Cricetulus griseus: one gene and its partners. The protein of the gene in region 2 purifies or fractionates together with the protein of the main gene of each other region. This does not show direct contact. Links are inferred from orthologs where the notes say so. Each region holds a gene or a part of one and is shown on either strand. Other genes may lie near its edges.

What was found.
Region 1: the proteins of Ap3m1 (region 2) and AP-3 complex subunit sigma-2 purify together in Homo sapiens (co-immunoprecipitation; 3 studies listed by BioGRID and IntAct, counting the BioPlex papers as one, with this or other methods). This does not show direct contact. The link is inferred for Cricetulus griseus from reciprocal best matches to the Homo sapiens genes AP3M1 and AP3S2.
Region 3: the proteins of Ap3m1 (region 2) and Rabl6 purify together in Homo sapiens (co-immunoprecipitation; 3 studies listed by BioGRID and IntAct, counting the BioPlex papers as one, with this or other methods). This does not show direct contact. The link is inferred for Cricetulus griseus from reciprocal best matches to the Homo sapiens genes AP3M1 and RABL6.
Region 4: the proteins of Ap3m1 (region 2) and Ap3b2 purify together in Homo sapiens (co-immunoprecipitation; 3 studies listed by BioGRID and IntAct, counting the BioPlex papers as one, with this or other methods). This does not show direct contact. The link is inferred for Cricetulus griseus from reciprocal best matches to the Homo sapiens genes AP3M1 and AP3B2.

The regions. Positions count from the first base shown.
Region 1 is NC_048596.1:117,716,034-117,723,452, forward strand, and holds the end of AP-3 complex subunit sigma-2, read left to right. Parts: intron 1-3,233; coding exon 3,234-3,341; intron 3,342-5,402; coding exon 5,403-5,531; 3' UTR 5,532-7,182; downstream 7,183-7,419. UniProt on the Homo sapiens protein: Part of the AP-3 complex, an adaptor-related complex which is not clathrin-associated. The complex is associated with the Golgi region as well as more peripheral structures.
Region 2 is NW_023276807.1:199,936,486-199,943,904, reverse strand, and holds part of Ap3m1 (AP-3 complex subunit mu-1), read right to left. Parts: intron 4,437-7,419; coding exon 4,161-4,436; intron 3,491-4,160; coding exon 3,319-3,490; intron 1-3,318. UniProt on the Homo sapiens protein: Part of the AP-3 complex, an adaptor-related complex which is not clathrin-associated. The complex is associated with the Golgi region as well as more peripheral structures.
Region 3 is NC_048599.1:136,937,561-136,944,979, reverse strand, and holds part of Rabl6 (rab-like protein 6), read left to right. Parts: intron 1-829; coding exon 830-970; intron 971-1,378; coding exon 1,379-1,484; intron 1,485-5,419; coding exon 5,420-5,523; intron 5,524-6,486; coding exon 6,487-6,821; intron 6,822-7,075; coding exon 7,076-7,229; intron 7,230-7,419. UniProt on the Homo sapiens protein: May enhance cellular proliferation. May reduce growth inhibitory activity of CDKN2A.
Region 4 is NC_048596.1:116,113,470-116,120,888, reverse strand, and holds part of Ap3b2 (AP-3 complex subunit beta-2), read right to left. Parts: coding exon 7,297-7,419; intron 7,212-7,296; coding exon 6,928-7,211; intron 6,778-6,927; coding exon 6,723-6,777; intron 6,316-6,722; coding exon 6,244-6,315; intron 5,081-6,243; coding exon 5,018-5,080; intron 4,682-5,017; coding exon 4,549-4,681; intron 4,229-4,548; coding exon 4,119-4,228; intron 3,297-4,118; coding exon 3,120-3,296; intron 1-3,119.

The DNA of each region.
Region 1 (7,419 bases), on a different chromosome or scaffold from region 2:
GGCGTGGTCACATGACCTGCAACCCCAGCACTGGAGGGTGGCTGCCAGCCTACCTCCAAGTTCGGTAAGAGAACGTGTTTCAAGGGAGTAAGACAGAACAAATAATAGAACAGGATACTTGGTGTCCTCTTCTAGCCTCTGAAAGTACACACACACACACACACACACACACACACACACACACACACACACACACACACACCATCTCAAGGCTAGGATACCTTGCTTCAAGTCCAAGCTACTTTCTCCACCTTTCTTACATAAAACTGCTGTCCCAGCCAGGTCCAGGAGCTTTGTAAATCCACCCCATCCTGTAGCTACATTGCTTTTCTCAGGACCTTTTCTGGCCTCCTGTGGGGTGGTCCAAAAGTTCTACACTTACTTGACAACAGACGGTAGTACTTCCTACCTTCCTGGTTTGACAGAAAATAATTACAAGTCTTGTTGTTACGGTTTGGTTTGGAATTGGAATTTGAAGTGCCAGGTTGGATCTGGTGGCACACAGGAGGATTGTGAGTATAGGGCTGTCCTGAGCAATTTAACAAGAATATTTCTCAAAAAGATAAGCCCTAGACACGTTGGTCAGCTATGCTTGTCTAGTATGCACATAGCTGTGGGTTGAGTTTCATGGCTATGCTGGTTATGGTGGCACATACCTGTAATCCTACTGCTTGGGAGATAGCATCAGGAAGATCAGAAGTTCAAGGTCATTTTTTAATGGCTACATAGCAAGTTCAAGGTTAGTCTGAGATAAATGAGTCAAACATTAATGTTAAAGTTGAAAGGGGAACTGGGAAAAATGCTTGCACAAGGCCCTAGGTTCAAGTCTCAGTACTGCAAAGGAATGTGAAGTACTGCCCTGCAGGCCCCAGTGAGCACACCCACCCAGGACTTTCTATGGCAGCTCTCCTGTCATCCCTGTGTAGTGGTTGAATCGCCTCTGCTCCATCCTAGCTGTGCATCAAAATTTAACTTTGCTTAGAGTACTACTGGATTATGGATTGGTCCGAATAGCTGGTCTTACTTAATGCCAGCCAGTGTGATGACAGTCAAATGGGTGATAGGAAAACATCTCTTCTTGTATAGAACCTAGTATGTACCAGGCACTAGCCAAGGCCTTTTTATGTCTAGTTTCCCATCTAGTTATCTTACCCAGACATTTACTCCTGTAGTTTTAGAGGGAAGCTGAAGCTTTGAGAATAGAATTTGCTAAAGACCATTTAGCTAACAACAGCAGGGCTAGAATTTAAACATGACCTGTCTGAGTGGAGCCTCTGTCACCACCTCATTGTCTTGAGGATACCAACCCCCCACCCCCTGTCATTGCTAATAGAAGGCCCCAAAGCCATAGACCAAAGGGCAGAGACCACTTGTGGTCTCACTAGTGAGGTGTCTGAGTTATGGATCTGCTGCCATAAGGACCAGGTTTCAACAGCTCAGGAATTGAAGGGGAGACACGGAGTAAGAGGACTGATCACTCAGTTGACTTTTCTATCTGAGGGAGGAAAATTTAACTCTCTGGGGTCGGTGAAAAAGACACACACACACACACACACACACACACACACACACACACACACCACCCACCCACCCATCCCCAACATGTCAGGATCTCTCTGGGGTCGGTGAAAAAGACACACACACACACACACACACACACACACACACACACACACACACACACACACACACACACACCCACCCACCCACCCACCCACCCCCAACATGTCAGGATCTCACCTAGGGTGCTGATGAATGGCAAGTCTTCAGCAGGTCTGAATAGGAGAGGCAGAGCAGGCAAACTACAGAACAGACAAACAGACACACGAGGACTTTTCCAAAGGCCAAAGCGTAGTTCTTCATTTTACTATTCCTTCTGTTGCTTGTTCTACTCTATTCTTTTTCTGTTCTGTTCTTCTCCCCTCGTGTTTCCCTTCTTCTTGTCTTTATTATTTTTTTTCCCCTTACAACTTATATACCCCAGCAAAACCTTTCAGCACTATTAAGTATGTTAATTAAATATGTTTACATTCCATTTTTAAGTGAATGATTTTAATGCATACAAGTGAAAAACAACACATTTCCCATTTCCTTACATGATTAAACATTTTACATATTACAGGTAAAAAACAAATTGTCCCCCAAGAACCCACATACAGTTAAACACTTATCTTTTAGACTTCTCATAGATCAGGAGCCTTTCAGCTGTAGCCGTTTACATAGGCATTGGTTTTTATAATTGCCAGAAAAATAGGTTATTTGTTATACTTTTTATATTAGAATCCTGTCCAGTTATCTTAACTAATCATCTAATTCTTTGTTTTTTAGTTACATGAAGTCAGTTGTTTAAATCTTTGTTTTAGCTATGATGCACACTGAAACCCATTTCCCAATATCAGAAAGAACTTGAGCTAACTCCTGGGACTCAATTGTTTTCCCTAATCATTAACCTAACCACAGTCTGTACAAACCCTCAAGTAAAACTCAAGACCTAGCTCCATGATCCTTTCTTATTCTTATTTTCTATCCTCTGTAGCCCCTGCTTTATCAGGGATGGGGGCAACACCATATCCTACTTTTATCTATATTAATGTTCCCACTAAACTAACCTCTGTCATAATCCCTTACTACATTTGTTTAAAAAACTTTTTTGGGGGGAGGGGCAGGTTTCAAGATAGGGTTTCTCTGTGACTTTGGAGGCTATCTTGGAACTCACTTTGTAGACCAAATGGCCTTGAACTCACAGAGATCCACCTGCCTCTACCTCCCAAGTGCTGGGATTAAAGGTGTGCGCCACCACCACCCAGCTAGTTAAAAAAAAGTTTAATCATCAAAATCCTATTTAAACTAAAACTATCGTTGAATAAAATTGTAAGTTAAGCAGCTTAAGAGGAAATCATCTTCGTAATAATTCACAGATAAAAATGTCCAGTAGAATGGGATATTTCCATGAGATAATTATACTACATTATAGGCTGTGCCTTTACATTTTTCTCTAGTATCTAGCATGTAAAGGCACAGCAGTAGCAAGAGACACTCTGGAACTGAAGCCCCAAGGGCCTTGTGTATCTGAGATTTGCCCATCAGTGCCTTGCATTCTGGTGAGCTGACTCCTGCTGCTCCTCTGACCTGGCCACCAGCATAGATGAGAATGTGGCCTGTCTGACCCCTCTGCTGCTGCCACCAAGGGAGCCACTGTGCTGTGCTGAGTCGTCTTGTTGCCTCTTTTCCAGGTGCACTACATCCTTCAGGAGGTGGTGATGGGTGGGATGGTGTTGGAAACAAACATGAATGAAATTGTGGCTCAAATTGAAGCTCAAAACAGGCTGGAGAAGTCAGAGGTAAGGAAGTAGCTATACTCGTGCCCTGGCTGTGTAGAGAGCACTGGGCAGAGGGAAGAAGGAACATGTACTTGTGTAGTATGTGTCGCTTTTGTATGCTCTGTGGGCTTGTGTGACCTTCTGTGTGCTGTGTAGGTTTGTGTATGCTATATGAGCTTGTGGGTACTGTGTATGTTTGTGTGAGTTTGTACGTGCTGTGTAGGTTTGTGTATGCTATATTAGCTTGTGTAAGTTATATGAGCTTGTGTGTGCTGTGTGGGTTTGTTTATGATGTATGGGCTTACGTAGCTTCATATGAGATTGTGTGGGCTGTGTGGGTTTGTAGATGCTATGTGGGCCTGTGTATACTGTGTGGGTTCATATGAGCTTGTCTGTACTGTGTAGGTTTGTGTATGCTGTATGAGCTTGTGGATGCTATGTGGGCTCATGTGGCTTGTGTGTGCTGTGTGTGCCTCTGTGGTTTGTATGGCTTATGTTTCTCTGGGTCCTTAGGAGGTGGGACCTGTCTCTATTGATTTGTCTACACTAACTTGAAGGCTAGTATAAATATTAAACAGGTAAGGCAACTTGAGATGTCAGGCGTAAAAGATAGGCAGATGGCAGAAAAAAGCAAACAGCTTCTAGAATATGGTTACAAGCACACATTTGTGGTGCTTGTGTGTATTTGCTTGTGCATATCTCATGCTAGGAATTCAAGATTCTTTATTTTCAGTGACACTTCTACAAAATTACAATAATGCTGATTTGAAAATACCCTACCCAGCCTGGAGGTGGTGGTGCACACCTTTAGTCCTAGCACTGGGGAAGCAGAGGCAGGCTGATCTCTGAGTCTAAAGGCCAGCCTGGTCTGCATAGCCAGGGGCTACACAGAGAAATCCTGTCTCAAAAAGCAACAATAACAGAGAAAATACCATACCCATCCATCCTCATGTGGCAACAGGCTTGATGGAGGAGCCATGGTATAGCCAGGCCTGTCCCACTGTGGTCTTAGCCTTCCTCAGCCCTACAGTGAGCAAGGCTAGAGGCATACCCCTCATAGCTGCAGAAATGATGGAACAGTGACATCTGAGTGTCTTTGAGGGTTTCTTTGCTTTATGTAATGGAGCCTGTCTTACAAAACCAGGCTTTCTTCCTGTGAGGACTGCTGATACTGTTGGAGAAGCTTTTCTAGCCACAGCTCTGGCTGCTAGAGTTTCCTGAGGGGTGTCGGCTGGGAAGTGAGTGCTTCCAGGCAGAGTGAGTGAATCAGGCAAGGGGTCTGGAAACCACAGAGACAACCATACAGGGGAGGGTGGAGTGGGAATGGGTGTCCTGAGAGCTGTCAGTCAGGGAACAATGAGTTTCTGAAGTCTTTGTCACTTCTCCCACTGCACTCCCCGGATGAGATGAGCCTACAGGTGTCTGCTGCAGCTTTCCCAGGCCCTGGCAGTGCTTTCCAGCTTGTTGCCACATGATAGTCTAAGCCCATCCTTTTCCAGCTCACACTAAGCTGTCCTAAATCTGATGTTCTGTTTCCTTTAAAGAATTTCCCCAACTTAGCATTTTCCTGTAAGGTGGACTTTTGTTTTTGTTGTTGTTTTTGAAGACAGGGTTTCTCTGTGTAACAGTTCTGGCTGTCCTGGAACTCGATTTGTAGATCAGACTGGCCTTGAACTCACAGAGATTCGCCTGCCTCTGCCTCCCAGGTGCTGGAGTTAAGGTGTGCATGGTGGACTCTTGAAGAAAGGGTTTTGTTTTGTTTTGCTTTGTAAATTGAGTATCCTCAATGCTTAAGACCTGGATAAACCATTATCAGCAACTGATTATTGACCATCAGCCATGAGCACTGTTAGATGGTGCAGCTGCAAAACTGCACAAGACACACCCCCCTCTGCAGACCATATAGTGGGATCATGCCAAGCTCCAGCCATCTAAAAGGGCTTTGTTGACCACCTTTGAAAAGGAAAGAAATGAAAACTCCCATGTGTGCCGTTTGGAATTCTTTAGATCTCCCTCATCTGGTTTGAGATTCAAGCAGATGACACTGGGAAAGTGACTGACTTTGTCCTCCCCTTCCCCCAGGGTGGTCTTTCGGCAGCCCCCGCCAGGGCCGTGTCTGCTGTGAAGAACATGAACCTTCCTGAGATCCCGAGGAACATCAACATTGGCGACCTCAACATCAAAGTTCCCAACCTATCCCAGTTCGTGTGAAAGGTGGAGGACTGGGCTGAACTGGGGTCCTTAGGGTGAGCAAGGCAGTCAAGTTCAGAACCGGAGTCTGTTGAGCCTCTGGAGTCGCACCTCTGGACACTGAGCCTTTCAAAGAGTGGGAAGGGAGTTGAGTGCACACTGCTTGTCCATCCTGCTGCTCTCTGATACACACAGCTGCCTCAGGGTTGGGGACTGTGGAACAAGCCACCTGCTTCTCAGGGCCCCGCCACCGAGACTGAACACATCTGACTTCCTCCCTAGCACCCAGGGCTTCTGAGATTCTGTATCATTCAGTGGGCAAGAGACCAGGGAGAAGGGCCAGCCTTTCAGATGCCAGGTGTGTCAAGTGGCAGGTTGTACTCTGGCTCTGTTAGGGCCTGGACTCCTAGAATCCCTTTGTATAACCAAGCCTTTTGGTCGGCAGTTGCTGCAGAGCACATTTTCCCCACTGGCATATTCCCAGTTTTGTTGCCACAGGCTTCTGTGTGCTGGACACAATTTAAAGCATATTTTGGGGGCATGTCACTACCCCTGCCAATAGGGAGGGCACCCCTACACACATGTGTACACACACACTCATACATCCCAAAGCCCTCTTGCAGATGAGAGACTGGTGTCTGTAGACTTTGAAGGCTGGGTTTGCCCAGAGTTATGACTCTTCCCAAATTTAAAATACGCTGTCTTCCTGGAAGCAGGAGGTTCAGTGGCTGTGTTGTGAATGACGAATCATTTCCCCTTGCTCAGAAACCCACTGACCAGTATCAGATTTTAGAGCTGAGAGTCTGAACTGGGTGCTATGTGGGCTGACCCTGCAGCATGCTAGCCATAGTGCCATAGTATTCTTCAATCTGTGTTCCGCAGTGAGCACACTGGGATCCTTTGGAGGACATTCTCTCACAGCTTTGGAAACCTGTAAATGTTAACATGTGCTGAGTCTTCTTCTTATGGCTAATTTGTAGCTAACGCTGCTGCTGGGAGCAGGCCCTCTTCTCCATGCTGTCAGCTGGATGTCAGGCGTGGTGGTGAGGAACTGATTCACCTTCATGGGGAACTGTCCCAGCCCAGGCACCTCCCCTCCTGCTGGCCAGGGCTCTAGTGCATTCCCCATGGCCTGGTGATGTTGCTGATGGCCCTAGGAGAACCATGTGTCGGGACCTGGTGTTTCTCATTTTCCAGCAGGACTTCTTGCACTTTGCCTATTGCTGCCCACAGTGTCTTGTCCCCATCTTTTCAGTCCTCTATTGGAGCCACAATAATGGGTAGTTTGCTGGAGGACAAGATCTGAGACCAAATCCCTAATGCCATTTTATTTTTATTTTATTGCCCCTTTTACAATGGCTGAATATGAAGTAGAATGAAGGAAACTAGTGTTTTTTGCATCTGCTGTAGGGTGACATGAACAAGATCCTTTAAAAGTCCTTGCCACAGACATTTTTTGTTTTTAAGATTTGTTTTAATGGGTGGTGGTGGTGGTGGTGGTGGTGGTGGTGGTGGTGGTGGTGGTGCACACCTTTAATCCCAGCACTTGGGAGGCAGAGGCAGGCAGATCTCTGAGTTTGAGGCCAGCCTGATCTACAAAACAAGTTGTTACACAGCTGTTACACGTCGGAGGAACCCTGCCTCAAAAAACAACAAAAACAACAAGAAATTATTTTTTGTTTGTGTTGTGCTTTTGTGTATGCTGTGAGTCCAGAGGAGGGTTTGTGTGCCCTCTGAGGCCAAAGGAAGGTGTAGAATTCCCTGGAGCTGGAGTTACGGGAGGTTGAGAAGCCACCCAAAACATGGGTGCTGGGAATGTAACTCAGGTCCCTGCAAGAGCAGCAGTGCTCTGAACTGGAGCCAACTCTCCAGCCCAGTCATGGACACTCGTAAGCATGTTTTGTTGCCA
Region 2 (7,419 bases):
CCAATACCTTTCTTAAGATCAACATGCCATCTTGCCTGAAATGTGACTAATGTTCATATCTGGCCAACTTCCAGGCAAACTGCATATGTATGACTATCCAAATAGAAACCCTTCCACTATGACTTACCAAACATTTTGGTTAGTTTACATTTTTAATTCAAAAGTAATCCATGCTGAACAGTTGTAAAAGGTAGTAACTTTATAAAACATTTTTTTTTAAAAAAGATGTTTTTTACTAACATCAACAACCATTAACATTTAGGCACATTTCTTTAAATATTTCCTCCAACTTTTTTCTATTTTGTTCATTCTATTTTCTTTTTTTATAATCCCAGCACTTGAGAGGCAGAGGTAGGAGGATAGCAACAAGTCTGAGGCCAGCCTGGTCTACATTGTGAATTCTGGGGCGGTGAGAATTACACAGCAAGACCCTGTCTTGATTAAACAGGTTGCAAGACAGGGAGCATATCCTATACCCCAACATTCAGGAGGCTAAGCCAGGAAGATTGCTAATGGAAAGCCTGAGCTGCAGAGTAAGACCCTGTCTTAAAAAAAAAAAAAAAAAAAACCAAAAAACCACACACAAAACCACACCAAGCTTAAATCAAACATAAAATATGGTTTCAGGACATAATAGGCAGTGTGTTTGCCTAGTATACATAAAGCCCTATGTTCACAGGGACAAAAAACAGGCAGCATGCTTGTCTAGTAGGCATAAAGCCCTGGCACTGAATTCTCTGGCACTGAATGGTGGAGCACACGCTTTAACCTCAGCACTGGTGAGACAGTGGAGGCAGGAGAATTAGAAGTTCAAAGTCATCTTTGGCTACACAGCAACACAGTATGTTCAAATCTAGATTAGTTTTTAAGGACGAGGAATGTATGTAGCCCAGAATGCCTGAGAACTAGGGATCTTCCGACACCAGCTTCCTAGGTGCTAGGATTACACATATATCTCACTATGCTAAGAAGGCTAACACTCTTTTTACAGCTTATTTATAGATGGCCCTCCTGTCTCCAACCTGTTACTTTCCAAGAGTATTATAAAAACACTGTTTAATCATACTATTTCCCTGTTCAGAAGCCTTTATGCTTCCCACTCGCCTTCTGATAAAAGCTTGACGTACTGCTTAGCCCTGGGGACAAACAGTCTCCTGTCTCAGCTTCCCACATCACACTCAGCCCAGTCTTACCTTCTAAGTGTACCTTCAGTGTTCAATTACAAAAAGCTCTACTGCTAGAGGGGCTAATACAACTCAGTCTTCCATTTTATGTGTATTTTCTTCATAACTGCTCTCATTTCTCTATCTTATTCTGTAACCTACTGATTCTGCAGGGCTTGTGTTAGGGCCACGAGGTAGTTCAAGTTACTTCATCCATTGAACCATTCTTTGGTATGTGTACGTATGTGTCATACTAGGCACAGAAACAAAGCCTTAGTATAATAAGCAAGACTCTACTAATATATATATATCTATATAGCCCAGGTGTATCACATTCTCTCACTTTGTAATCCAGGCTAGCCACAAACTCAAAGCTGTTCTCCTTCAGCTGCCCTAGTAGCTGGGATTACAGGTATGTACCACCACATCCAGCCTGAACTATTCTCTTAAACTTTATCAAACCATGCTATAGTTTCACATTAATTTTTTCCTATTAAATACATTTTTTTTTGGAAAGTTAAAGTATGAAGTGGATTGGAGAGATGGCTCAGGGGATAAAAGTGCTTGCTTTGCAAAAATGAGGGCCTGACTCCAGATCCCAGCCCCACAAAAAAAGATGGGTATGGCTGTGCACATACCCATGTCCCAAGCACTGTGGCGGTCAAAACAGGATGGCTGGGGCTTGGTGGCCACCAGCCTAGTTTCAGGTTAAGTGAGAGACATTGTCTCAAAAAAAGGAATCAGGTGAGAGTGATAGAGCAGGACATCTCTATCCTGGGCATTCACACACACCCCCCTAAAAATGTATAAAGCAAAATAAAGATGTTTTCTTAGCTAGAGATAGCCAATGTAAACATTTTAGATTTTGTTTTGTTTTTCGAGACAGGGTTTCTCTGTGTAACAGCCCTGGCTCTCCTGGAATTGACTCTGTAGACCAGGCTGGCTTCAAACTCAGGGATCCGTCTGCTTGTACCTCCTGAGTGCTGGATTAAAGGTGGCACCACCATAAACTGGCCATTTTAGAATTTATCTTCGTAAACACACACACACACACACACACACACACACACACACACACACACGCGCGCGCGCGCGCGCGCAAAACCTTGATGATTTTGTGCTTGTTTTTCCCCCCCATTTTTGTTGCCCCACCACTGAATATTGTGAGTTTTCCAGTACCTCAATACAATGTCCTTGAAGTATGGAATTGCTCTTTAAAATGTTTAGATATTTAAACTACATTCCATAAAACTCTACCTCCAGAAGACTTCTTCTTCTTTTTTGAACACAGTCCCAGAGCTAGGTTGACCTGAGACTTCGTGTGTAGACCAGGCTGGCCTCTAATTCAGAGATCCATCCACCTGCCTTCATCTCCTGAATCCTGGGATTAAAGGTTTTTGTCTCCAAGCCCACTCTCTCTAGAAGACCTTTAATCCTCAAAAGATTGTCTGGGCATACTTGATTTCTAGGTGTGGTCTACAATGAAACTCAACTGGAAGCTTATAACAAAAGCAGAAAGTCCACTATACATGAGTTCTATTAACAATCTAATTTTCTACTTATTTTACTAGTTCTTTTCTTTGAAATATTGGGCATTGAACCTAGCAATAGGCAAATGCTCTACCACTGAGCTATACCTGGACCCTAAAAGTCCTTTGTCATGCAAGACTGAGTCTCTTTTAATAAAAGAAACATATTTCTCACTCTGTACCACAGACTGGCTTTGAACTTAGCAATTCCCTGGTCAGCCTCCTAAGTGCTATGATTACACACATGAGCTATATATGACTTTATATATCTGTTTTTGTTATTATTCTTGCTCTCTCTTTCTCAAAAGAAAAGGGGGGCTGGCCAGATGGGTCAATCGGTAGGTAGGTAACACCTGAAGACCTGATTGAATCCCTAGCTCTGATCTCCGTAACTATGCTATGGCATGGAAACAGGCATGCATTTGTGTATAAGCATGTATACACACACACACCCACCCACACACCCACCCACCCACACACACCCACCCACCATTTATTTTAACATTATTGGTAATTTTAATTTTGGCCAAATTAGACTACCCTAATAGTCTGCCATATGAACAAAATGGGCTGTTCATAAAGTTTCAGTGGATCACTTCCTAGCAGAGTGTTTTCAGCTTTCATACCTGTAATAGAATTGACGACAGAACGTAGAATTGTTGGTGGCTTAATCAGTTCTTTCAAAATGTTAGATTCAGTAGCCAGTGGGAATCCGTTGTCTAACATTTCTTCCAAGAGCTCATACACTATGACCACATTATCCTTAATTGCAGCCTCTGAACACTCACCAAAGTAGTCCTAACAAAATATTCATAATATTGAACAACAGAAAGCATGAAGGAAGGCTTGCTTTTCTTGTTCTGAAAAATAAACAGTAGCTTAACTCATGGTTTAAGACCTTAGATATATATATAGACATAAAAAATTATCTAAGAAGACCTAACCTACTCCCCCCACTCCCCTTGGTTTGTCAAGACAGGGTTTTCTGTGTAGTTTTGGAGCCTGTCCGGGAACTTGCCAACATTTTTCTACAATATTTTCCAACTATATTTATACAAAATTGATTCCTATCATATATCATGTTAGAAAGTACTGAAATGTTAACTGTAAACTTCATTAGCCCTGATAAACCACTCCCAAACACATAAAGCTTTAAGCTATTTGGTTTATTTACCAAAACAAGAGAAAATAGATAATGTAAACTTAGAAGAGCTCATGATCAATAAATCTTTGTGGCAATCCACATAATTCTAAGTGGGCACTCTCATTTCCTGATGGTATAGTTTGCCACACATATAAAAATGAACAGAGCAGCAATGTGTGTGACTGAATACAAGTGTTTATGAGGTTATGTTTAATTATTAAGGAAAGTCACACTGTACACATCAAGAGCCTAAGTAACAAACAGGAACACTGGTCTCTCAAGTATCTTGAGTGATCTAGTTACAGCAGTTTGATGAATACAAACCTGAAAAGTGTCAGCAACTCGATGCAGAAACTCAATTACAAAGAGAGGTGGCACTTCTGTCTGTATGACAGACACGAAGAAGAGCTTATCCCGGTAGATACTGATGAGGTAGTGGTGAGGTGTTGAAATGACAGGTGGTACATTTTCAACATCAGCAGCTTTCTCCTGAGCTTCAAAGAAATAGTCACAGACAGACTGGCTTACAACGCTCTTCCAGTGCTTTTCTAGAAATATGTCGCCAGAGCAGTTGATGAGAAATAGACTGTGGATCATTTTCTGTGAAGGAAAAAGGGGCCTTATACTTACTGTACACTGAAATGCACAGTTGCAGTAGATGTAATAAACATAAAGAGTCACAACTGGACAATGTCTAGTGAGTGAGACTTTGGAGCACTCATCTCTAAACAGATTGTCTTTATCACATCCCTTCCTTAAGACTCAGGGAACTATGGAGAGGAGGAGACAGAAAAATTTCAAGAACCAGAAGTGGTAGACAACTCCAAGGAAACAGCATCTTCTAGACACAAAAGAACTGATACACATATGAACTCATGGAGACTGTGACACCATACAAAGACCTCCACAAATTAACACCAGACAAAAAGCACAGCATAGAGAAAGGGAAGTAGATACCAAGTCCCACCCCTAAGAAGCTATTTGCAACTAATACCTGCTAGGAAAGGGAAAATCATGTGTCTCTACATGAATCATTGTGTTTATCAACCACACTCTAGGGCAGGCCCCATGTACAGGTGCAGCTGGCTAACACAAGAAGTACTCCACTTTGTGTGTGTGTACTCCCCTCCCCCCCCTTTGCCATCTTTCCTTTTTTTCTTTTGGACTGAGAGAACATGAAGTTGGGTGGGTAGGGATATGGGGAGGACCTAGGTAATGGGAAGACAAAGAATATGATCAAAACATTTTGTTTGAAAAAAAAGTCCTTTAAGTAACTGCAGATCAGTATCGCTGGAAAACTAAATTCAGCAACAAATTTTAAAAAGTGTTATTTATTCCAAGAATGCAAGTTTGGTTGAACATAGAACAGTTAATCAATGTAATATATAGGTAAGTGCTGGTTAATTCTGCCAACTTGAAACAGCCTAGGTAAATCTGGAAGAGGAAATCCTAATTGAGGAACCGCTCCATCAGACTTTTCTGTGAGCATATCCATTGGCCATTTTTTCTTGACTGATGTAAGAAGACCCAGCACACTGTGGGTGTTGCTCCCCCTTGGCAGGTGGTTCTGGGGGATATAAGAAGCTGAGCAAGCCACTAAACAGCTTTCCTCCATAGCTTTGTGTCGGGGCCCATAAAAATAGCTTCATTTCATCTTGGCTTAAGGTCAGAGAGTTTAAAACTATCTTTACTTTTCCAAGGTTAAAGTCACAAGACCTAAAGGTCTAGGGCATTGCTACTGTAGGATGTTTGGCCTTAGGCGTTGTTACTCTTAACCCTCAAGACAAGAGAATGAGAAATTTAGTCTAAGGCATGGTTACCAAATGTTTGGAGAATTAAGGAAGAAAGTTTGTTTCTTCCTTGTATCTTGATAAAGAAGGGTTTTTTTTTTTTTTTTTTGCCATTTTCCCCTTTTTGGTTGGGGTATTTAAGATTGTTGAAGAATAAACTTGGCACATTCAGTATTCACTGGATTACCCTCCTGACTCTATTCTGTGTCTCTCTCTTCCTTAGTATCTTTACTTAATGTTTCTCAATCCACACTCCCCCTTTCAGGCACAAAGACAGGTTAACATACAGTTATGTCCTGACTTCCCTCAATGAACAACTGTAATCTGGATGTGAAAGCCAAATAATCCTTTCTTTCCCAAGTTGCTTTTGGCCATGGTATTTATCATGTGTGTTACATAGCAAATTTGAGGTTCATATGGGACACATGTCTTAAAAACAAAAAGAAACAAAACAACAGAAAAATATTTGTCAGCTATGCAATATGGGGGCAACTGAAAACTGTCTGTTTCATCTTTATTTTATATTATGACAACTGTTGCAGAAAAGTTAAGTCAATCATCTAAGACCACACAGTGTCAGATATAAGATCTGAACTTAACAGCTGAATTCTGAGTTCCTGCTCTTAATTTGCCTCTTATACACTAATTATCAGGCATGTATTTGAACACAGAGCTAATTAGGTTTTCAACAGCTAGGGAAATGTCCTTTATTTATGCTGTCCAATATGGTAACCATTGAATACTGAGTATTAGAAATGAGGCTAACGTGAGGTTGGGGGTAGTGGCATACATCTGTACATCCCAACACTTGAGAAGTAGAAGCAGGAAAATCAGGGGTTCAATGCCAGCCTGGACCATGGACACAGCAGATTCAAGTCACTTCATGATATATGAAACCCTGTCTTAAAAAGGAAACAAACAAAAATGTAGCAAAGACAACTAAGGTACTGAAATGTTAACTATTTTTGAGACAGTCTCACTATGTATTCTAGGCTATCCTGAAAATTGCAAACTTGGAATTTGTAAATTGCAAAAAGTTCCACATTTAACAGCTAATTTGAATAAATTTAAACACCCACATCTGGCTTCGATACTACTGGATAGTACAGTATGGCTTGGTTTAAGAGGAACAGTTGAATGTTACACCAAAATATGTTCTAGCTTTTATGCTGAGTTTAATAGATTAGAGTAGAAATAAATGAAGTGACACCGATTATTTTAAATCACTAGTCCTATGGAAAACAGTGGCACTCCATTATCACATTACTCTCTAAGAGAGTTGCTTGTTTTTGACTACTTTCTATTTTGGAGCTAGATTTCCACTCATTTTCTTAAGCTGGTGAAAAATTCTTTCCAGGAAAGTTTCCACCAAAGTTGTTTTTATTGGCAGTAGTTCAGGTTTCAGACTACACTGCTGTCAAACCAACCACTGGATTTACTGTTGTTATCCTTTGTGCTGAGATGAAAGCATAACATTTCAGGCATTCAACAGCACTTGGCTTCAAAACCCATCTTAACTTTCTATAACAAGAAAAGAGACCTTAGTTTTTCTATCCTAACATGGCCAATTGCCTAATGCATACAACGATTAAGCAAAATCACATAGTACAGTAAAAATTAGCTAATTTCTTTACCACTTATGTGTTTAGCAATTATTTTGTTACCCATTTTATTGAATTTTCCTAGAAAACTGCACAGGGACCACCACAACCATTTGAATCATAAAACACTCCCATCAGAATTTTGATTGTAGTTTAACTGCTTCATGAATCCTCTTTACTAAATGTGCATTC
Region 3 (7,419 bases), on a different chromosome or scaffold from region 2:
CTTGTTTTGGGGGGGGGGGGGGATGGAGATTGAACCTAGGGCACTGTACATGCTGAGCAAGTACTCAACACTAAACCAAATCCCTAGCCCTAGTTGTCTTTACAAATCATTTGGAGACATTGGGATGATTTGTATAATGGATCTATAGGGCATTCCTACATTAGGTCAGTCTTGGAGAGACCAACAGACTTTGTAGGTGGTGTGGTTCACTGCAGAATAAATAAGGCCCTGGAGATAGACACTTCATTAAGGATACTTCAGAGATGGCATCCCTAAGGCAAGAGCCAATAAGTGGAAGTAGATGAGCTACAACCCTAGCCTCAGTGTGCCGCAGAACTGAGGGACATGTTACCCTAGGATACATTCAGTTTTGAATGATGCTACAAACAGGTGAGGCTCCAAGCAGTTTTTGTTTCCTTTTTTCAGTTTTTTTAATTTTGGGGTAGGAAGTTGTGTGATAGAGACCAGAGGACAGGAGTTGGCTCTCTCACTCTACCATGTGGCCCAAAGATCAAACTCAGGTCATCAAGCTCAGTGACAAGCACTTGTGTCTACTGAGCCACCCCACCAGTCCTTGAAGCAGTTTCATAGGGACCCAGACAGGTGGCACACCGATTAAAGGCAGGAGAGTGGAACACCTTGATTTCAGGTGCAGGAGAACCATGATGTCTGGGAGAGTCAGTGACCAGGGATGCAAGCTTTCTGCACTTGCTGTGTCTCTGAACCTTCCCTGAGGTGACATTTGCTCTGGGGAGTTAAACCAAAAGGGTAGTACACATAGCATTCTAAGGGTCACACAGCTAAGGCAAAACACTCTCCCTTTTTGAAGGACCTTCAATTATGTTCTCCGGGAGCTTCCCAAAGTGCCAACCCATGTGCCGGTGTGCGTGTTGGGCAACTACCGTGACATGGGCGAGCATCGAGTCATTCTACCAGATGATGTACGTGACTTCATTGACCACCTGGACAGGTGGGTGCTACCAGTTTTCCTCCTGTAAGGAGGTCTTATGTTCTGCCCTGATAGTGTTGGGGGAAGCTTATAGACACTTGGGTAGCAAACGCAGGTTCTCATCCTGTGTTGGAGATAAATTGTCAGCATCCTGGCCTAGGGAAGGGATTATGGCCAGAGGATGAGGAGCTCCAGGTCTCTGGTAATGCTGTAGAAGATATGCGGACCATATGCCAGGACTGGGGGGCCTGCTTGGCCCCCATCCAGTTCTTCTGACCACCCCAGAGGAGTCAGCTGCAGAAGGTCCTTAAGAACCTGCTGCCAGAAGGCAGCAAGGGAGACAGAACACCTTAGGCCTTAGGTGTGGCCCTTGACATAGGAGTCAAGCCACACTGCCCACTAAGTTCCTTTATCTTTCTTTGAAAACAGACCTCCAGGTTCCTCCTATTTCCGCTATGCTGAGTCTTCCATGAAGAACAGCTTTGGCCTAAAGTACCTGCATAAGTTCTTCAACATCCCATTTTTGCAGTTACAGGTAAGTGCTTACCAGGTAGGGCCGACAAGTGGGTAGCCATCATTTTTGTGGCTCTGCTCAAGGACCCTAACAGCACTCTTGGGCACCTTTTGGAAGTTGGCTACCAACATGTATCCAGTGGGCTGGAGACGCCACTCACAGTGGGCCAAAAGTGGGATAACATGTCTCGCTCTCTGAGAGCATCCAGAAGTTTCCATCTAACATGTACAGAGCCCTTATGCCTCTTTGGGACACTGACTAAAGTGCAGACCCCTTTACCAGATGAACATATAGCTATGGAGGTCCTAGTCACACAGATCTGTCTGTCATCAAGAGATAGGTTCCAAGACATGCAACTTCTGTGACTCCACATCAAATTCTGGGCTGGCTATACTCGGAATCATAGTCCTCTGGCCATCTCATGAAGAACAGATAACTTGCACCCTGTCTGAAGCATTTAGCCTTCCTGATGCAGCTGAGGCAAGTAGGGTGGCCTGGTAGGGTGAAGAGCTGCACCTACCCTGATTTTCATTGAGTGTTGTTCTTGGAATCTTTCAGATAAATAGAAGTGGCATAGGCTAAACATGGTGGCACACACCTGTTCCCAGCATTCAGAAGACTGAGTCAGGAAGATCACTTCAGGTTTAAGGCTATGTAGTGAGGCTCAGTAAGTGGAAGATTCATCTCAAAAAAGTTAAAGTGCTGGGCATGGTGATACACACTTGTAATCCCAGTACTTGGGAAGTAGAAGCAGGAGGATCACAGGTTCAAGGTTAGCCCTAGCTGTGTAACAAGTTCAAGACCAGCCTGGACTACATGACACCCTTTCTAAACACACAAAACACACACAAAAAAAAAAGCCGGATGATGGCAGTGCACATCTTTAATTCAAGCACTCGGGAGGCAAAAGCAGGCAGATCTCTTGAATTCAAAGCCAGCCTGGTCTACAGATCAAGTTGCAGGACAGCCAGGGCTGTTACACAGAGAAACCCTGTCTCAGAAAAACAGCAACAACAACAAAACAGAATTTGCAGAGATAGTATAAGATGGCCTTATCATCACCCAGTCCCCAGTGTCTCCTGTTTATGTTCTATATTTGTCAAGGTCAAGGAACCAGTCTCAGTCTATAAACTAAACCCAAAGCTCTATGTAGTTTCAGATCCCCCTCCCCGCCCCAGGACCCTACCCTGCTTAAGCTGTGGTCATTTTCTCCGGTCCTGAGGTGTGCTGTAGCTTCTCAGAACTAGGAGAGCAGCAAAGCTGAAAATAGAACAACGCTCTGGATCCTAAGCATAAGAACCGAGGACCAATTCTTTTTGGAACCAGGAACTGAAACAGCTTGGTGTGGGGTCTCTGGTGAATAAGAAAACCAAAGAGGTCTGGCTACCTTTCTGGACCTGGAGACCTGTAGCCTCCCCTGAGTATAGAGACCCTTCATACTTTATCCAATACACCAAACTCAGGAAAGTAGCCTTCCTTTTCTTCATCTCTGTCCTTTTGAGAAACATGATATTCCTGCAGCTGGGGTTATGCTGAGGAGCCATGGGTAGGAAGAAGAACAAACCTACAGGATCATAAGGAACTTGTACTAAAGGACTTCCGCTGAAGACTTCTGTTGTGAGACAAAACTTTTCCTGGGGTAGACAACTTGCCATATCTACTTGCCCCAGATGTATACAGTCTTCTATCTGCATGCAGATCTCATTCAAGGCCGTTGTGAGCCACCATGTGGTTGCTGGGAATTGAACTCAAGACCTCTGGAAGAACAGTCAGTGCTCATAACCGCTGAGCCATCGCTCCAAACTGAACCAATGAGTTTTATTGGGGTTACTTACAGAAGCAAAAATGACAGAAAGACAACTGTATCACCAAAGCCCACTCCAGTATAGGTCAACAGCTCATACAAGCTGGAAACCTGGAGTACTCTGCACAGCCTGTAGGCAGCTTAACAGGTCAAAGAGTATCCTTTCCAAGTGTCTTTGTAGCTGGTTTAGTCTGAGTCTTCTTTGCAACCTTTCTCCTCTGAGAGTCATCTTTTCATCTCTACTTCCCTCCTAAGGGGGATTCTCAGCTTTATTGCTTACTCAGGCAGGGAGGACCTAATGAATCTGGTCAGTTTCAGGGACTTCCTGAAGCTATTTTAAGTTTTTACCTTTCTACTTAGAGTCCTGTAATATGGAATGTTTCGATCTTGGAGGAAACTGTTACATAAAACAACTCACACTGCTCCACTCTATGAAAGCTTTACCACTGATTCCTGCCAGGGGAGACAGATGCCAGGATAGTCATTGGTGCTAGAAGCCTAAGCTGAGATCCAGAACAACATAACTTTCCTCCATGGTTATTTGCAGGGAATATGATAGCTACTGTCTGCTGGCAGGATGGTGGGTACCTAGAAGTAACCATGGATTGAACCATTCCATCTTGAAGGGGCTGGCTGCTCTTCTATAAGATGGCAATTCAATTCCCAGCACCTGCATGGTAACTCAAAACTGTCTGCAACTCTATCCTCAAGGGATTCAAAATGCCTTTCTGGCTCTGTACATGGTACACAGACTAAATGTCTATATACATTAAACAATTTTTCTAAAAATGACTTTGGGATGTAACTCAGTTGTTAGATACTTGCCTATTATTCATAACACCCTGGGTTCAGTCCTTAGTGCTATATAAGCCAGGTGTGGCACATGCCATAATCACAGCAATAGGGAGGTGGAGACAAGAAAGAAAATAAATTTTGCACCATCCTTAGTCATATAGCAAGTTCCAGGCCAGACCCAGATACAACAGACACCATGAGGCTGAAGAGATGATTCAGTGGTTAGTAAAGCCTGCTGCTCTTCCAGAGGACCTGAGTTCAGTTCCCAACATCCACATTGGGTAGCCAACAGCTGTCATAACTCTAGCTTCAAGAGATCCAATGTACTCTTATAGATCTGGGCATTCAAACATGTGGCTTTCACTCAGACACACATATGCACATAAAAATAACAAAACAAGTCTTTTAAAAAAACTATAAGACCGGGTGGTTGTGCACACCTTTAATCCCAGCACGCTGGAGGCAGAGGCAAGTAGACCTCTTTGAGTTCAAGACCACCCTGGTCTACAAAGTGAGTTCTAGGACAGCTAGGCCTACACAGAGAAACCCGGTCTCAGAAAACAAACTATAATTCCAGAATTATTCAATTACCAGTTATTGGTCAATATGCAAAGTCAAGTCTAAATAGACTTATATAGGGTATTTGATGTGGCTGTCTAGGTTTTTCTTGGTATATCACATCTTTAGTTTTAAATTAGGGCCCTCATCTGTCTGTGATATGCCTGCTTGTCCTGAGTATTGATCTGCCTTATTCTCATGTATTTCTATTTTGTCAAAATATAAAGACCAGATCTCTTGGTCTTTAGTTACTCCCACTTTTTCCATTTGGTTTATTTGCTCTGTGATGGAAAGCACTTCCAGTATAAGCCTGGGGCATGCTCTGTCCCGGGGCCATGTTTCTTGTGATAGCACTGTCTAGTAGGGCCTTTTCCAGCTAAAAACGCAGTCCTGTTTCATATCCTGTCCCCTCACATAGCCTGGAAGCTGCTGTATTTTAAGATTAAATCTAAATGCAAAAGACATGGTAACTGAACCCACAGGCTTGATCTGATCAGCTTTGGTCATCATACTAGAAGTGTACGGTTTGCCCAGTATGTACCTGGCAGAGTTTATCACCCTAAGTTCCCCATGGGGCTCCCCAGATGTCTTAAGCACCTATTGCCATGATTTTGTGACCTTGAGAGGCCAACAGTAAGTTCTAGTGACAGCCCAAGGTATGATGTGGAAACAGAAGGTTGTGCTTTCTGGTGTGGCTCCACATGACTGACCTGTATCCTCCAAGCCACACAAGCTGACTTGGGATCCAGCCAGACCTCACAGGAAGAGGCATACTCAGCTATGTCCACTTCCTCTACAGAGGGAAACACTGCTGAGGCAGCTGGAGACAAACCAACTAGATATTGATGCCACTCTGGAGGAGCTGTCAGTGCAGCAGGAAACTGAGGACCAGAACTACAGCATGTACGTGAGCCAACATCTACAGATATGCAGGCCCTGGCTACCCTGATGGGAAGGGCGGGTACTGTACTGTATTGCCAGTGGGCCCTAGTAGTCCACAGATAGGAGCCAGATGCCAAGCTTTGGTCTGTACCTGTGAGGCAGTGGAGAAAGCACCATATACATGGGTGGTAGGTCAGTCAACCTGAGTATTCTTTAGCCAAGCCCTTAGTACTCAGGTGGAGCAATGTGGGGAATAGCTGAGTAACATGGTACACCAGCTCATCTCAGCCTCTTAGGACAGGTACTCCATGCTATTACCCAAAGCCCTTCCTGTTCACCGATTGAGGTTTTTAACTATTAATGTGAATTGCTTAGTAAAGCACTTGCCTAGAACAAGTGTATTAATACTGTGAATTGAGCTATGCTGATCTTGGGGACAGTTTCAGTTTCCTTACAGACCCCTGAGTTCTTGCAGAAAGTGAGGGCAGATAATCCTGAGGGTGGGCTGTATTGGCTCTGGCACTCTATACCCCCAAATAGTTTGGAACCATCAGAACCTACATCTGGTATGGTTCCTACATGTGGATCAGCACAAACCTGTGGTTAAAGCAACTACACATGTATGATTAGCAACTCTACCCCACTGGCAAATAACCAGCCATACCTGCCTCTTGGTCACTAGTTGGGTACTGTTGACAGCCACTGACCTACCCAAACCCTATAAAACAGTTGGTCCTGGTTGACTCTGGTCATTCATCTGTGCTGTGAGACTCAGTTCCCCAGGCAGGTACCAGTATAAAGGGACAGGATATAAGCAAGGCATTAGTCTGGGTACCAAAGACTGTGAGGCAGCTGATTGGCAGGCAGTCCCTATCCTCTGCTTAATAGTATAAATGCAAAAGAGGCACTGATGGTCAAAAGCCTTGGAGAAAGAGGTCCAAGAGAAAGCCAACTTCTCACTCCCTATCCTTTTGCCCCTCCTAGCTTCCTTGAAATGATGGAGGCTCGAAGTCGAGGCCATGCATCCCCTTTGGCGGCCAATGGGCAGAGTCCATCCTCAGGTTCCCAGTCTCCAGTTGTGCCTCCAAGTGCTGTATCCACAGGAAGCTCCAGCCCCAGCACTCCCCAGCCTGCCCCCCAGCTGTCCCTCAGTGTCTCCTCCACCTGTCCCCAAGCACCGTCTCCTGCACCCCCTTTGGAGGCTGTGCCCTCCTCTGTGCAGCCTTCAGCCCCAGCCCCAGCCCCAGCCCAGCGTCGCAGTATCATCTCTAGGCTGTTTGGGACCTCACCAGCTGCAGAAGTGTCCCCTTCACCTCCAGGTAGGCCTGGGAGCAGCCCTCTGAACATGTGAATTTGGAGCTAGCTTCTGGTATCTTGAGCCTCACATCCCTCAGAGACTGGAATGCGGTTCCTGTGTCCCTAATAAGCTCCTCCCTCATGGGCCAGCTGCTGCTGTTTGGACCTATGATCTTGAGTCAGGGTGCATGAATTGTCAAGTCCTAGTCCTACAGACTCAGTTTTGAAGCTTTCCTATCATGGGGCCACATAAGGAAGAAACGGCATTTCTCTACAGAGCCAGCTCCAGCCCTAGAGGCCCCAGCAAGAGTCCAGAATGTTGAGGATTTTGTCCCTGAAGATGGCCTTGATCGAAGCTTCCTGGAAGACACAACCCTGCCTAAAGACAAGAAGAAAATTGGAACCAAAGGCCCACAGCAGGATAGTGACAGGTAAAGATAGATTGATGGAGCTGAGCACAGGGTCTACCTCAAGGGACTGCCAACACAGCTTCCCCATCCCATTTATACCTGGATCTCCAAGACACTGCTGGGGATTGTGGAAAGCCTTTCTTTGTGCTTGCTGGGTTGGTGTCTAGCTTTAAGGAACGAAGGCTGAATTCTGACTGGAAAAACTGAGGGA
Region 4 (7,419 bases), on a different chromosome or scaffold from region 2:
GGAGAAATGGCTCAGAGGCTAAGAACATTGGCTGCTTTTCCAGAGGACCTGGGTTCAGTTCCCAAGACCTACATGCTAGCTCACAAACATTTCTAACTCAAGTTCCAGGGGATGTGATGCCCACTTCTGACTTCCTGCATGTATATGGTGTGCATAAAAATATACATGCACACACACAAGCACATACACATACAAACACATTTTATATATGTACCTTATATATACAGGCACATAAAAACATATTTCTTTTTAGATTAGGCTGTTGAAGAGAAGAACCTACAATGCAAGTGTTAGTATACCAAAAACTCCTATTGACCAAGGGGTCCAGCTGCCAGGGAAGAACACTATGGGACACTCTCAATAACCTGTGTTAACTTTCATACTAACTTGCACCCAAGCAGACTAATCAAAAAAAAAAAAAAGTTAAAATACAACCTCTCCTGAATACTATATAAATTCTTTTTTTAAAAGATTTTATTTATTTATTATGTATACAACATTCTGCTTTCATATATATCTGCACACCAGAAGAAGGCACCAGATCTCATTACAGATGGTTGTGAGCCACCATGTGGTTGCTGGGAATTGAACTCAGGACCTCAGGAAGAGCAGTCGGTGCTCTTAACCTCAGAACCATCTCTCCAGCCCCCTCTAGAATCTAGAATTTAACATCCATCCCTGCTTCCTAATGTTTGTACTTTGTGTAATCACCTTGCTTTGGTGTAAGCAAGGCCTGAGACTTTGGAATGTGGCAAAGGTACTGTGTTGCTAGTACGGAGACTCTAGAGACTTTGTCCCTTGTGGCTTAGAAAAATTAAGTGGCCACATTGGGAGGCTCATATGGAAGGAACTAAAGACAGCCTCTAAAGTTGAGAGTAGTCTCTAGCTGACAACCAGCAAGAAGTCAGGGCCTTGGCTCTATACCACAAGCACTGCTGGCCTTATGTGATCTGGGAAGTGACCCTGACACTGTGTGAGCTGGGAAGTGAACTTATCCTCAGCACAACCTCCAGGTGGAAACCCAGCCTTGGCCTACACTCCCAGGACAGTCTTGCATAAGACCCAACTGAATCACACCAGGTTCTTGACCCATAAAAATGAAAAAAAAATCATTTTGTTATCTTAAGCCACTAAGTTGATAGTAATTTATTATGAAGCTATGGAAATCTTAAAGGATTAAAATGTAACATCACGATGACTGTACCTAAGGCTCAGAGAACATCTAGGAAAGAGGATGAATGAATGAATGAATGAATGAATGAATGAATGAATGAATGCATACACATGTAGTTAGCAGTGATGACTATCCAGAGTTCTAACACTTGATGGTCCTGCCTCCCTTGCTTGAGTCCCTGGGGCTAACACTAGCCACTGTGATTCAAAAAAAGCCAGTAAAGAAGTCAATTATCACCCAGGTGTGATGGCTCACACACAAGTAGTGGCTGCACTTGGGTGGCAGAGGAGCGAGGATCTCTGTGATTATGAGGTCAGCCTGGTCTACAAAGTGAGTCCCAGGACAGCCAGGACTGTTACACAGAGACCCTGTCTTGAAGAAATGAAGAAAAAGAAGGGGCGGAAGAAGAGTAAAAGGAGAGAGGGTGAGGAGGAGGAGGAGGAGGAGAGGAGGAGGAGGAGGAGGAGGAGGAAAGAAGTCAAAGTCATTGTCAATTGTCACCACCTACCATGACAGTGACAACTGTCATATGGTCAGGCCCAAGCTTATAAAAGCACAATGGCTTCAGGGCCCTGGCTTAATTCTGGGCATGTCACACTCCCCACTACTGGAGCACTGATTGTGCCTTTTGCTTGGTTTGCCTCCTTCAGCTGTTGGGGATTGAACCCAGGGGACCAGAGTTTCCTGCATGCTAAGCACATGCTCTATCACTGAGTGACACCTCAGTCCTGCTTCATTTTTCCAAGTGCTCCTCCAACCCGCTCCTCCAACCTTCCAAACAAGACAGCACACACACATCTGCTTCCCTGTGCTGCTCGCTCCTCCAGACTGATGCCCCACAACACTGATACGCACAGACCAAGTACTTCACTGCCCCTGCATGTAGTTACTGCCCGTCCTAACTGACTCCTGACCAGAGTCCTGGCACTTGGAGGCCCAGCCTATCCCAACTTGAGTCCTCAGACTCATGCCAAGCACTGTGAATCAAAGGAATCAGTAAAGATGCCATGTGCTGTGATCCTAAGATTGCCAAAGGCTGGCAAAAGAGCCACCTTTAGGCTACACTGTGGTCTCAGGCTATAGCTCTACTGTAGACCTGATCCATACATCCAGATATTTTGCTTCAAGGATCTGAAAACGTTTTCTGCAAAGGGCCAGAGATTTTTAGGTTTTTATAGGCATGCACACTGTTTCAAGGTAGTCAGCTCTACCACTGTAGCACAAATACACCCATACATAATATGTAAACGAACATGCTCCAATTGAAATATTTGTTAAAGCAAGCCACAGGCTAGGTTCAGCCTATGGGCAGCAGTTTGCCAATGCCAGTATTGCTGAACTCTCCTCTTGTTTGGAATCTCCATCTCCTTGAAAAGTTCTGCACATTCTGCCTTATTCTTAGAATTTGCTAGCGCCATCTCAGGGAACACTGGATAACCAAAGGCTCTAAGCACCACGATATTCTAGCTTACTTGAGCCCCATCCTTGACTATAATATTTCTCATAATCTTTTACCTTTCGAAAGGGACTGGTTGCCAACACCTCCCAGGCTAGAACACAGCCTTAACAGACAGGCCAGACATCACCAAGCTTTGCCCTGGAATACATATTCTCCCATCAATGCCCATCACTGCCAGCCCTCCCTTAGCTCAATCAGCACAGGCACCTCACAGCCCATGTTCCAAAGATGACGGATAAGGTCTCTCTAACATCAAGACATGAGCCTCACAGCCTCACAAGAGACTCTCTTTAATGGTGACTCCACTGGAGTCCCAAGAATAACCATGGGCACTGAAGTGGCATTGGTGACTTGGCAAGACTAGTCACCTGTCCTAATATGCCTTTTCAGAAGAGTCCAGGCCTGCTGGAGAGAGTCAAAAGAATGCTTCCTGTGGCAGCTCTTGGGGTCTAGAGAAAGCTAGTGGGGACATCTCTCACTCCTCACCTGCTTTGAGTTGGTCAGGTAAAGCTTGGCCGCCAGGTTGATGACCTGCAGCTTCACGATGTCCTCCTCTGCTGTGAATGACTTGGCCATTTTTCTCAAGACATCAGGTGCAATCTTAGGCACATGCTCACAGTACTCTCCAATGAGCCAGAGAATGCTGGCTCGTGCCATGGGCACCTGTGGGTATAAACAGGTGTTAGGACTACAGGAAACAGATTGGTGAGGGTAGGATGAACTGCCAAGGAAATGGCTGCTATCTATGCTGGCCTACTGTCTTATAGGTGTCCGAGGATGGGGGCAAAGGGGTAGAATAGGTTCAAAGGTGGGCATTTATAAATGCCACCCCATATTCCACATGGTTTCATTATCATGGGTAAAGCTGCCAAGCTGTAAAGTCAACCACGGTTTTCTAGATTTACTTTTGTACCACCATGTCAGTATTCCTGAATCTCCAGTAATGAAAATAGGTATATTTCAACTCTTCAATGCAACAGAAAAACAAGGGATTAAACAATCACCCATCCTTGGTGAGAACTATGGCGGAAAATAAAGAGTGGTAGGAAAAGCTGAAGAGCTCTGTAAGGGAGCCCCACAGGGATAATCTTGGACAACAAGGTCACACAGTCCAATCGTTCTCCTTGTACCTAAAGAACTTCCAAAGTTCAATTTGGAAGCTGATTGGGGTGAAGCTAAAGCATTTGGCTACAGGGTCTTGAAGTAAAGGTCAGAGCTAGAAAGATGGCTTAGAAGTTAAGATCACTTGATGATCTTGCAGATGACACAAGTTCAGTTTCCAGCACCCATGCTGGTTGGTGCACAACTGCCTGTAACTCCAGCTCCAGGAAATCTGAAGCCTCTGACCTCTGCAGGCACTGGCACTCACATGCATAAACCCATCCCCACTTCACAACACACATAATTTAAAGCAAAAGAAATCTTTAAAAAGAAATCGTGGGGGCAATGTTGGGGCAGGCTGGGAACACAGCATTGCTCTCTCACCTGGATGTTGTCTGTGAGCTTGGCCAAGTGTTTGATGATCTCTCCATGCTGCGCTGGCTGCATCTGCAGCAGCTTCTTAATGACCACCACTGACTCTGCAACCACAAGCTCTAGGGAATGAGAATGAGAACTTGAGCCCAAGAACAGTTGGATGGCCACACCAAGGTGGACAGGCACACCTGCAATGCCCTTGGTGGTCCTCTTCCTCAGCCCCCTGCACTCCTCAAGCAGCCCTCCAGTTACAGCAACACCTGGACACTATCTGAAGCAGATATACATTGCACACACACACACACACACACACATACACACACACACACACACACACACACACACACACACACACGGGAAAACCCATTGGCCAGCAGGGTCAGACATGCAGGGACACATACACCATCAAGGACGAACACTTCTCCAGGCAAACACTGACCATCACGGTTGGACAGAAGCTGCACCAAGCCATTGAGGCAGGTATCACGGACTCGGCCTATGTTTGTTGCACATCGTCCAATGGCCTGGATCGTGGCTGCAACAAAGTCTTTGTCCATGCTGCGAATGTAGGTCTGTGGGACATCATGACACAGGAACATCCAGTAAGTAGTGACCCCACAGTGAAGAGCTTAAAAGTGACCTTCATGTAGGCTAAAACTGTAAACCCTCATTTTACATCCATCATGCCACAGATTAAGTCTCGGATTATGACATCTCCAAACCACATTGAGGGAGTTCTCAGCCCAAAGCCAACAGAAGGCACTGAAAGGGGTACTTAGGCAACAGTTTCTACAGTTTGGGGCTCTTGCCAAAAATGAGAGTGATCAGGCCAATTCTCACTGGGTTCAAGGATCTATTGGGCTCCTCTCCTGGGAGCTGCTGCCTGGAGGTTAGCCCATGGCTTGTACCTGAAATTCCCGTAGAACTGTGGGGATGTTGGTCTCATTGGCCAGGTTGGTCAGCACTTCCAGCTGCAGGGAGAGGTGGAGGCAGAAAGTGACCAGTGTGGCCAGCAGGTTTTCTGAGCTTTATTGTAAACAGACTTTATGGACTAGAAAGTAATACTCAGGACAGTTCTGCACATGCTCAGAGTATATGGAAATGCAAGATCATAAACCTTCAAAACACAGGAGGATCAATTTGCCTCCTCAATAAGGTCCCCAACAAAGAATAGGTGAAGTAGGGTCATGTCACTTTCTTCATCCACAGAAAGCTATTCCTTTAAGGATAGAAACCAGGGATGATCTGAAGGTTTCTGGACCTGACCACTCTTCCTGCTTCCTGCCTCAGAGTCTTTGCAAAGGCTATTCCATCTGTATGGAGCAGTTCTTCCCCTTTCTGACCCTGAAATTACTTAGGTAATTAACATTCATTTACCAGGTCTCAGTTTAGACTCCATCTTATCAAGGAAAGCTTCCTTGATCCAAATGATGGTAGCCCTATTCTAATTTTATTTATTTTCTGCCCATGTTGTTTTGTCTATGCACCATGTGCATGCAGTGCCTGCAGAGGCCAGAAGAGGGCATTGGATTCCCTGACCAGATTCACTAGATGCCTCCCTACCAGAGTAAACAAGAGCCACCATGATCAGGGAAGCATGCAAAGACTGAGACCAGACCACCTGCCTGGGAGAAGCAGAAACCGCCCAGTGGCCTAGAAGAGCTGTAGACCAACTGAGTCACTTGGAAAGAACATTCTCCAATTTGTTAAGCTAGCTGCAGGCCGTGCAGTGTGCTCCAGGTTCCCAGCTTTTGTGAGCTGTCACTCATGCGGGGGTGGACCTTGGTGATGCAGCTATCTTAGTCATTTGTGCTCCTGTAAGTGCTCCATACTCTTGCAAGTAACCCCAGTAAAACTTATTGGTTTACCCAGTTGGACTTTAGTGGTATCTGAACCTTGACTTGTGGGATCCCTATCTAGGATGAGTAGATATATTCTGCATCTCCCCAGAAAGTTTTGTTCCACGACACAAGCCAGAGGCAGTTCCTCACCACCTGAACAAACACCTGCAGCCTAGAGATGGGCTCAGCTCCAGAAAGTGGCAGGCACCATTGTGACCAGTATTAGTTAGCCCAGCTGGTATTCAACCAGGTGGTGAGCAGGAATCCGAGGCCATGCACTGTCCTGCACTTACCTTCAGGATCTTGATCTGGGTGGGATCCGTAGACCTAATGTAGAAGCTCTTCAGGTAGGGTTCAAACATGCCCTGGCAAAAGAGAGCATTCCTGGGGATCTCGACCACAGCCCTAGATTTGTCTCTTCCAGAGACATCTGTCCCTTCCAGCACAGGCCTCATGTCCCTTAAGCCTCAACCAGCTCATCCCTGCCCCATGTTCCCTGTCCACCTTAGATCTGACTTATTCTTCTCATGGGGCACACACACACACACACACACACACACACACCATGGCCTCTTCAGGATCTAGACCCTGCTCTTGGTTTGCATTTGGGGGGTCATTAAAACTTACACCCTCAACGGGGTAATTCCCCTATTTTTATGGGCATCCCTCTTCATTCCACCCTAATTCCCTTGTCCTCTATGCTCCCACCCTCTGTCCCAACAGCTTCCTCAGAGCCCACAGAATCCAGAGCGGGCCTTGAATGCATGCTTACCCGGCGCTTGATGGACATGGTGGCCACATTCTGGAGCACTACGTACTGCACCTCACTGTGGAAGAGATGGGTCAGAGGGTTCTGAACCCCTCAATTGCAGGGAGGGCAGTGGGTTGGGGAAAATAGGTTGGCCAAAGAGTTGGGAGGAAGGAACTTTTGGGAGAAGGGTGGGCTCGGACTGCGGAGGGGGCGGGGCTTCCCGCACCTGTGGCTGCGCAGCAGGCGTACTAGCGCCTTGGCGATGACGCCCACCTCCGCCTTGGGCGCAAGGTGGAAGTAAAGCTGGGCTACTGCCATGACCACCGCGGCGCTGCGGCTCTGCAGCAGGGGCTTGGTGTTGCGCAACAGAAGCCGGTGATCCGGGTCCATTACATAGGGCTTCCGAGCAGGCAGCGCAGCAGTGGCTGCCTCCTCCGATCCAGGGCCTTTGGCTTCATCCTCCTCGGAGCCATAGAAGGCCTTCTCGGGGTTCTCCTCCAGCAAGGACTCCTGAAGGAACACGGCCGGGCGGGTCTGTGGGCGCCTTCCCTGGAGGACCGCCCTCCCCTCCACAGGACTGGAGCCCCGAGCTCACGTTCTGCGTGGGGCTCAAGAACTGTGTGCGCGCATAGCGCGTGAGCATGCTGATGATCACCACCTGGCCCCACTCTTCCACGTCAATGAGTAGGTTACAGAGCTTCCGGTAGTTTTTGTGAAT